2 linked regions of the Kluyveromyces lactis genome follow. The protein of the gene in region 1 purifies or fractionates together with the protein of each later gene. This does not show direct contact. Links are inferred from orthologs where the notes say so. Each region holds a gene or a part of one and is shown on either strand. Other genes may lie near its edges.

Evidence for each region.
Region 2: the proteins of MYO1 (region 1) and ACT1 purify together in Saccharomyces cerevisiae (affinity purification with mass spectrometry; 3 studies listed by BioGRID, with this or other methods). This does not show direct contact. The link is inferred for Kluyveromyces lactis from reciprocal best matches to the Saccharomyces cerevisiae genes MYO1 and ACT1.

What each region holds. Positions count from the first base shown.
Region 1 is NC_006041.1:1,021,718-1,026,335, reverse strand, and holds the start of MYO1 (myosin 1), read left to right. Parts: upstream 1-1,817; coding exon 1,818-4,618. Other genes in the region: KLLA0_E11617g (F-box protein), read right to left, coding at 1-1,108. UniProt on the Saccharomyces cerevisiae protein: Required for cell division.
Region 2 is NC_006040.1:460,154-464,295, forward strand, and holds ACT1 (actin), read left to right. Parts: upstream 1-1,572; coding exon 1,573-1,582; intron 1,583-2,362; coding exon 2,363-3,480; downstream 3,481-4,142. Other genes in the region: SND2 (Snd2p), read right to left, coding at 273-818; KLLA0_D05379g (uncharacterized protein), read right to left, coding at 4,047-4,142. UniProt on the Saccharomyces cerevisiae protein: Actins are highly conserved proteins that are involved in various types of cell motility and are ubiquitously expressed in all eukaryotic cells.

The sequences.
Region 1 (4,618 bases):
CGATATCCAAGACCTTCAACTGCCTGAAAGGTGCGTTGGCAGTGGCTGTACTCGTAGTATTAGTCGCTGATGCTAAGATAGGGTCTAAGAAACTCCAAAACTGGAAGTCTATCATACTTTGATTTATACTCTTATCAGTTTCCACAGAGTCTGGTCTTGCCAGGTTATTTTCTACCATGTATTTCGTTACTATAAGTGATTGACCCAAATTCAAATTATTTCTTGTTATCTGTTTCATTGAAGGTAATTGTCTTTTCAATTGTAACACTTTTATCCGATCTGCAATGGTCTCTATCGAAATCTGCTGCATAAATTTGCACAACGTATCCGAATTATTGAATGGAACCACTGAGAGCCGCTCAAGTTGCGGGAAGTGTATATCTGCCTCGGTACATTTCGATAAATCAAGATTTATCGCTAACGAGGTAAGTTCTTTTTTATTGGGTAAATATTGTAATGTGTCCAAGGGCAATTTCCGTGACCCGCTTTCCCAATACAAACATGATAGTCTCGTCAACGAATTGATGGATCTATGAACGAAATTCACAATTTCCATATTCGAGACCCCATCGGGCAAAGAATATATTTTGAGACTTTTTACCAATATCCCTAAGGGGAACGCAGTTTGTATTTCATCCTGTGATAACGATTTCATAAACTTCTTTAAATTGTACTTCGTCTTGATATAAGTACATCGTTGATTCTTGTCCGTTCTCAACGAATCGTTCAATATAGAGTATGACGTATCTACCACGATATTTTCGTACAAAGAAAACATCGCCGCGTCATAAAAAGATTTCGATACCGATGCTAAATTCACCAAGTCATATTGGCTCAAATTATTGGTAATTTTAACCTTAATTTCAATGGGTAAATTCAATATCTTTTCACTAAGAATAAATTCATCATTCTTTGTGGTATTATTAACAGCAGAGGTGTAATTATCATCTGCAACATTGCTGTCGTCGTGTTTTGCAATCACATGCTTCGGAAGCGGCACACCTGCATGGCCGACTGGTGCAGAAAGATTGAAATAACGTGCCATAATATCACGTCTGCTCAAGTGCGCATAGGAAACACGATCGTTACCAGTACTTTCGAACATCATCTTGAAAGGTTGAACCGTTTTAACTGTCACAAGCTAGTTTCAATCTTATATATGTCCAGCATATACTTGATTGACGTTTAGAACTGAAAAATCCTGCGTCTACACGGAACTCTAAGCGAAACACACAACAACACTAAAAACATACAATGATGCTAACGAACAACAAACTATATTGATGACTACACCTTATTTTCGAACGGCTAGGTGCAATAACGACTAGGAATAAATTCTCAGTAGTTGACATTTTTCACCTATTTTAACCTAATTCGTATTATGGGTGTTGAAAAATACACCGGGAAAGTGAATAACTAAGTGACCCAGACGTGCCACAGACGTGCCACATCTACTATATTCATTGTCCCAGGATTAACAAGGGCCAGTACCTAAAAGCATGAAAAACAGCAACGTATATACTGTTCAACTACACATATAAGCTTTTTAGCATGTGTATGGGCTTCATGAAACAAAATCCACGTGACCTCAAATTACTTTACGTATCAATTCCCTTTTCTGATCTCTAATTGTTTTGTAAACAAAAAAAAAACATAAACATCAAGAACAACTGGAATCAATAACAAACACTAGCGGTCTCAATTGCATGAATAAATTCAATTGAAGAGCATTGATATTGACTTCTGGTTCCAATAACGTAGCCTCATTGACCAAATTACAGGTAAACTCAATTTGGGTACGAGGCTGTTAGGAAAACATGAGTCAACAGAGGGAAAAAGTATGGGTATCTGATGAACGAGAGGTTTTTGTTCAAGGTCAATTGGTAGAGCGGAAAGTGGTTAAGAATAAGCAAGGCCAGGAACAAGCGGTTGCTGTGGTTAGTGTGAATGGTAAGGAAACAGAGTTTTCCGAAGACGATGTAGCCTCGGTGAATCCTTCTACCTTTGATAAAGTGGACGACTTGTCTGAATTGACGCATCTTAATGAAGCTTCTGTTCTTTTCAATTTACAGAACAGGTACCAAGATGATTTGATTTACACTTATTCAGGATTATTTTTAGTGGCCATTAACCCATACAGTAATATCAAGATATATAGTAACAGCTATATCAAATTATACCATGGATCTCCGAAGGAGGATAATAAACCGCATATCTTCGCTGTCGCTGAACAGGCTTACCAGAATCTTTTGCATCAAAAGCAGGATCAATCGATCTTGGTTACCGGTGAGTCAGGTGCTGGTAAAACAGAGAATACAAAAAAAATCTTACAATATTTGGCATCCATTACGACGGATGATAAGATTTTATTAAATCAGACGAACGAATCGTTTGAAAGGAAAATCTTACAATCAAACCCAATTTTAGAATCCTTCGGTAACGCCCAAACGGTGCGCAATAACAATTCCTCACGTTTTGGTAAATTCATTAAGATCGATTTCGACGAATATGGTAAGATCAATGGAGCACATATCGAATGGTATCTATTGGAGAAATCAAGAGTTATACAAGCTCATGCCAGGGAAAGAAACTACCATATTTTTTATCAAATATTATCTGGCATGTCGAAGCAAGAGTTACGGGCTATTGGATTAGAATCGAATTCCATCGTTGATTACCAGTATCTACGACATTCCAACCCATCAATTCCAGGTATTGACGATGGTCAAAATTATCAGGAACTTGTATCCGCGTTTGAAACTGTTGGATTTACGAAGGATGACATTCAATCCATTCTCAAATGTATTTCTATCATATTGCACATCGGTAACGTTGAGTTTGTATCAGAGAGGTCAGAACAAGCCAGCATTAAAAATGATATCAAACCCTTGTGTAAACTTCTAGGAGTTCAGGAAGACGATTTCAAGTCAGCTGTTCTAAAACCTAAATCAAAGGCTGGTAAAGAATGGGTATCACAAGCCAAAAATGCCTCACAGGCAAGGTCAATTCTTAACTCTTTATCCCGATCATTATATGAGAAGCTTTTCGAATATATTGTAAATCAAATTAACAAGAGTTTAGAGCATGGATCGATGACTGAATATTTTATTGGATTATTGGATATCGCTGGGTTCGAAATTTTCAAAGATAATTCTTTCGAACAACTATGTATCAATTACACAAATGAGAAATTACAACAGTTTTTCAATCATCATATGTTTGTATTGGAACAAAATGAATATCAAAAGGAAGACATCCAATGGAATTTCATCGATTATGGCAAAGACTTACAAACCACAATTGATTTAATTGAACAGAAAAACAGCAGCATTCCAGGTATACTACCGATTTTAGAAGAAGAATCGATCTTACCAAAATCTTCAGATGCCTCTTTTTATTCGAAATTACTTTCATCTTGGGATAATAAATCCACTAAATTCAAAAGGTCTAAGCTGGATAACTGCTTTATACTAAAGCATTATGCAGGTGATGTTGAATACAACGTTACTGATTGGCTATCAAAGAATAAAGATCCTTTAAATGAAAATTTATTGCAGGTACTCAATGATTGTGCGAACCCTCTGGTATCACAATTTTTCGCAGATCGCATTAGAGGCAGTTCTTTTAGGACATCATCTAACAAACATAGGGAACAGCTCCATACACTCATTGAACAGCTTGGCAATACGGATCCCCATTTCGTTCGTTGTATAATTCCAAACAACAAGAAAAAGGCAGGTGATTTTGATAAGAAGCTTATTCTAGATCAATTACGGTGTAACGGTGTTCTTGAAGGAATAAGAATTGCTAGGGATGGTTATCCCAACAGAATATTCTTCAAGGAATTTTTCCAAAGATACAAAATTCTTTCAGATGAGTGTAGATTCACTAACAACTCCAAAAAGAACTGTGAAATACTGTTATCATCACTTCACCTGGATCCAACAATTTACAAGGTCGGGAACACAAAGCTGTTTTTCAAAGCTGGTGTATTAGCAAACCTTGAACTGCTGAAAGAACAGCGTTTGAGTGCAGCTGTTACTAGGTTAAATGCTATAATATCTGCTAATTCAGTCAGGAAAGAAATCAGAAGTCATCTTAAGAAATTACAGGCTGCAAGGATCTTAAAGGTAACTTTTGAAACCTATGACAGGCTCATGGAAAATCCATGGTACAATTTATACATGAAATTGCTACCGCTTTTAGACTCTTCGAATACCATCTTGAAAACTAAAAAAATAGCTGAACAAGTCAAACAACTCGAAAACAAGCTAGCAGAGAGCGAAAAAAGTACGACGGTTATGGTAGATGCAAAGAGGCTGGTGGAACAAGAGTTAGAAAAAGTTAAAGCATTATTGTTAAAAGAAACTAGTGAACTACAACAGTCGCAAGAACTTCTTGAGGCTACCAAGACAAAGCAAATTCAAATTCAACAAAAATGGGATGAAACTCTGTCAATTAAAGACTCTTTGGAAACTGAAAACCTCGAATTATCTAAAGAAGCTGATAATTTACGCCTTGAATTAGAAAAGACGAAAAATGCTTCCGATTTATCAGAAGATAAGTTTAGAGAGTTGTCCCATGATAAAGAAAAGCTGGAGATTACAGTCAATGAACT
Region 2 (4,142 bases), on another chromosome or scaffold:
AAAAATCAGGAACTGAATTTAAGAACTGTCTGATAATTACCATATTTCGAAGAATTAATATCCCGTATACATCACAAACAACATTAAGCACCATTTGCCCCACATAGCTTTAACGAAAGAGCCGGTGGTTGTCTATTTAGAGCCTATTATAGTTAGACTTAATTTCAATTACAATCATTATTCCTTTCTTTCTTACTTTCTCTATATATAAGAGAATGTATTCGTAGATATATGATGGATATAGTATATACAACCCCTTCTCTAACATTAATCTATCGGTATCTTACCTGAGATTTATCACCACGTTTTTCCCTCTTCAATTGTCTCTTTGATTTGGAAGGTTCAGCGGGCGTTGTCTCTGCGAGATCCGCCTTTGAAGCTGAGGCACCGGGGAAATACTGTTGCTTCAAGTAGTACAACTTGTAGAAAATAAACGCAGGGCACACTAATACCAAGAACCACCATTTCATCGTGTTGAAGAAAACTGTTCCCAGGTTACAGAACAAGGAAACATACACGATATCTTTCATGTATTCAGTGAGTCCACCAGATTCCAAATCGAACCCTTCATTAACTAGTTTATATTTTCCATGCGCAGCGTTACTGACTTCATATTTTGGTCTACCGGTACGTTCGAGAATATATAAACATAACAACATCGGCACATTGAAAAGAATAGGTTTTAGGGTTGAAATCAGCCCATTACTGAACCATTTCCTCAATAACGTTAAAGATAGTATAGCGACGACTAGTACGTGCAACTGCTTTAAGATGGCTGCGTTCTTTGCAGCAATCTTCTTGGACGATTTTCCAGCCATTCTACAATGGGTGGGTGAGATTCTTCAGAGATAGAGATAGATGTACATAAATGTACTGTCGAATATTAACCTGATCTATTAATACCTTCCCGTTGCTTCAATGATAGTTGATGATGATCCACGTAACATATATTCACGTATAGATTTCAACTGCCGAGTCATTATAATCCGGGTAACGTACATATATGTCACGTGATTTTGAATATACACATTAATATACGGAGGATTAAGACGATATGCGGTCATAATGAATTGTAAAATAAACCAGATGTACTAACATCCAGAGATCGATAACTGCCTCATGAATACAATATACTACGATATAACTATTCTACCGACAGCCTACCAACGTTATATCAAACTTCCAGCCTTCACAAAGCCTTCAATTGCAAGTCCGCCCCTCCAGCTGTACAGTGAATCCCACGTAACCACTAGAAAACCATTACCGCAACTGCTCCGCCTCGTGGACAATGACAATCGTCTCCTATTTTTCATCAGAATTCTTTTTTTTTTTTTAATTTGTTTTTTCGAAATTTTCTCTTCTGTTTCTCTGGACAGCTAGTGCGATTTATTGTATGAGAGAGTTTGAAATTTGATTTAATTTACAAGAAAAATAAGAAATATCTTGATTTGTTTCCTCCTTCTTTACTGTCTTTTACGATCCAAAGAGAAGAAAGGTTGTTTCAGAATAACGGTTTTTTTGTTGATTGCAAAAGGAATTGTACAACATCTTCACGCGCTATAGTATAACAATATGGATTCTGGTATGTGTGGAAACGTATATTTGATTACGGTGGGTTAATTGGGTGGTTAAAAAGTTTGGATATGTTTTATTACTTTGTTAGGTTTCCGGTTAAATGTTGGGAGGGAAAAGATAGGATAATGGCAGCGCTTTGCGCTGCCATTGTCCATTCTCTAACTCCCTAAATCAGATTTAGAATTAGATGTACAACGCTAATTGAATGGGTTTTTTTTATATATAGGGGTTTGGATTAGAAGCTTTGTTCGAGAATTGGATCTTTCATTTCCTGGTTCTACCTTCTTACTATAACGTGTTTTTCTTGGGTTTTGGGTGACTAACTTTGGATTTTGGGTTTTTTTTACCTGATTTAGGAGGCGAATTGGAAAGAAATTTGGAAAATATAGGCAAAAAAAGATAATTTGATGTCACGTGATGATGTGATTTTATATTACAATGTTATTCCTTCCAGTCCAAGAAGGAATCAAAGTACACCTTTAAGTGGTGCAGGCATTGCCCCTCGTGGTTCGGTTGTCCCTATTTTTTTTTTGATTTATTTTTCTGGTTGCTAAGGTTAGCCCCTATTTTGTCCGCGACAGGACTTTTAGCGTTGAACAATCACATAACCTCATGATCACCCAAAATGCACCTGTTACTTTTGTTTTCTTATCTTATGTTACTAACAATTATTTTTCTATTTGGGATGGCTGAATTCACTTTTTTGGAACACCTAACCTACCCAAACGTACGGTTTAGTTCCTTAATCTGCATTCTGCTACTCGTGATGGTTTTTTATTCTAAACAGAGGTCGCTGCTTTAGTTATTGACAACGGTTCTGGTATGTGTAAAGCCGGTTTCGCCGGTGACGACGCTCCAAGAGCCGTCTTCCCATCCATCGTCGGTAGACCAAGACACCAAGGTATCATGGTCGGTATGGGTCAAAAAGACTCTTACGTTGGTGACGAAGCTCAATCCAAGAGAGGTATCTTGACTCTACGTTACCCAATTGAACACGGTATCGTTACCAACTGGGATGATATGGAAAAGATCTGGCATCACACCTTCTACAACGAATTGAGAGTTGCTCCAGAAGAACACCCAGTTTTGTTAACCGAAGCTCCAATGAACCCAAAGAACAACAGAGAAAAGATGACTCAAATCTTGTTCGAAACTTTCAACGTTCCAGCCTTCTACGTCTCTATCCAAGCTGTTTTGTCCTTGTACTCTTCTGGTAGAACCACTGGTATTGTGTTGGATTCTGGTGACGGTGTTACCCACGTTGTTCCAATCTACGCCGGTTTCTCCTTGCCTCACGCTATCTTGAGAATCGACTTGGCTGGTAGAGATATCACCGACTACTTGATGAAGATCTTGGCTGAACGTGGTTACTCTTTCTCTACTACCGCTGAAAGAGAAATCGTCCGTGACATCAAGGAAAAGCTATGTTACGTCGCTTTGGACTTCGAACAAGAAATGCAAACTGCTTCTCAATCATCCGCTGTTGAAAAGTCTTACGAATTACCAGATGGCCAAGTTATCACTATCGGTAACGAAAGATTCAGAGCTCCAGAAGCTTTGTTCCATCCATCTGTTCTAAGTTTGGAAGCTGCTGGTATCGACCAAACTACTTACAACTCCATCATGAAGTGTGATGTTGATGTCAGAAAGGAATTGTACGGTAACATCGTCATGTCCGGTGGTACCACCATGTTCCCAGGTATTGCTGAAAGAATGCAAAAGGAAATTACCGCCTTGGCTCCTTCTTCTATGAAGGTCAAGATCATCGCTCCTCCAGAAAGAAAGTACTCTGTCTGGATCGGTGGTTCTATTTTGGCCTCTTTGACCACTTTCCAACAAATGTGGATCTCAAAGCAAGAATACGACGAATCTGGTCCATCCATCGTTCACTTGAAGTGTTTCTAATCTCCTTCACTTTTTTTTACTTGACACTCTTATAAAAAGAATACAATTAAAATAAACGATGAATCGATTCATATAGATGAACCCAAAAATTGAAGCTTATGAAACAAAAAACTAACAATTATTAAAACTTCATATAGGGACGATTTTACTCCAAATCTTCTTTGTTTTTATAATTTTGTTTTGTGTGTTGTTTTTATTTATCTTCGATCGCACAGTCATTATTCAAGTTCCAATCTTCTATCTTATGTTGTTGGAATATTCTACTTCATATAAATGAAGTGGGTAGTTTAGTATGAAAGTTAATAAGTTAATAAGCCGAGATTATATACGAACGAAATTCAAATTCAACATTAAAATTAAACAACTCCAATTGAAAGTTATATACGGCAATTATTGAATATTCGTGCGAGGCTAATTGCTTAAGTTGATCATCTGATAATTTGAAAAGGATTTAAAATCATCATATGTTCCAGAACAAAGATTTTTAGTGTTGAAAGTTATTCTTAGTTTATGAAATAGTAAATTATTTAATATGTACAATAGATAAACAAGACTAAACTAATAATTCAACGTTCCGTCACTTCAGTGGTAGTAGTGGTACACACAAATGAGTCAGGTTCTGGCGCACCAGACCTCTCGGGAATACTTTCAAAATCTGCACT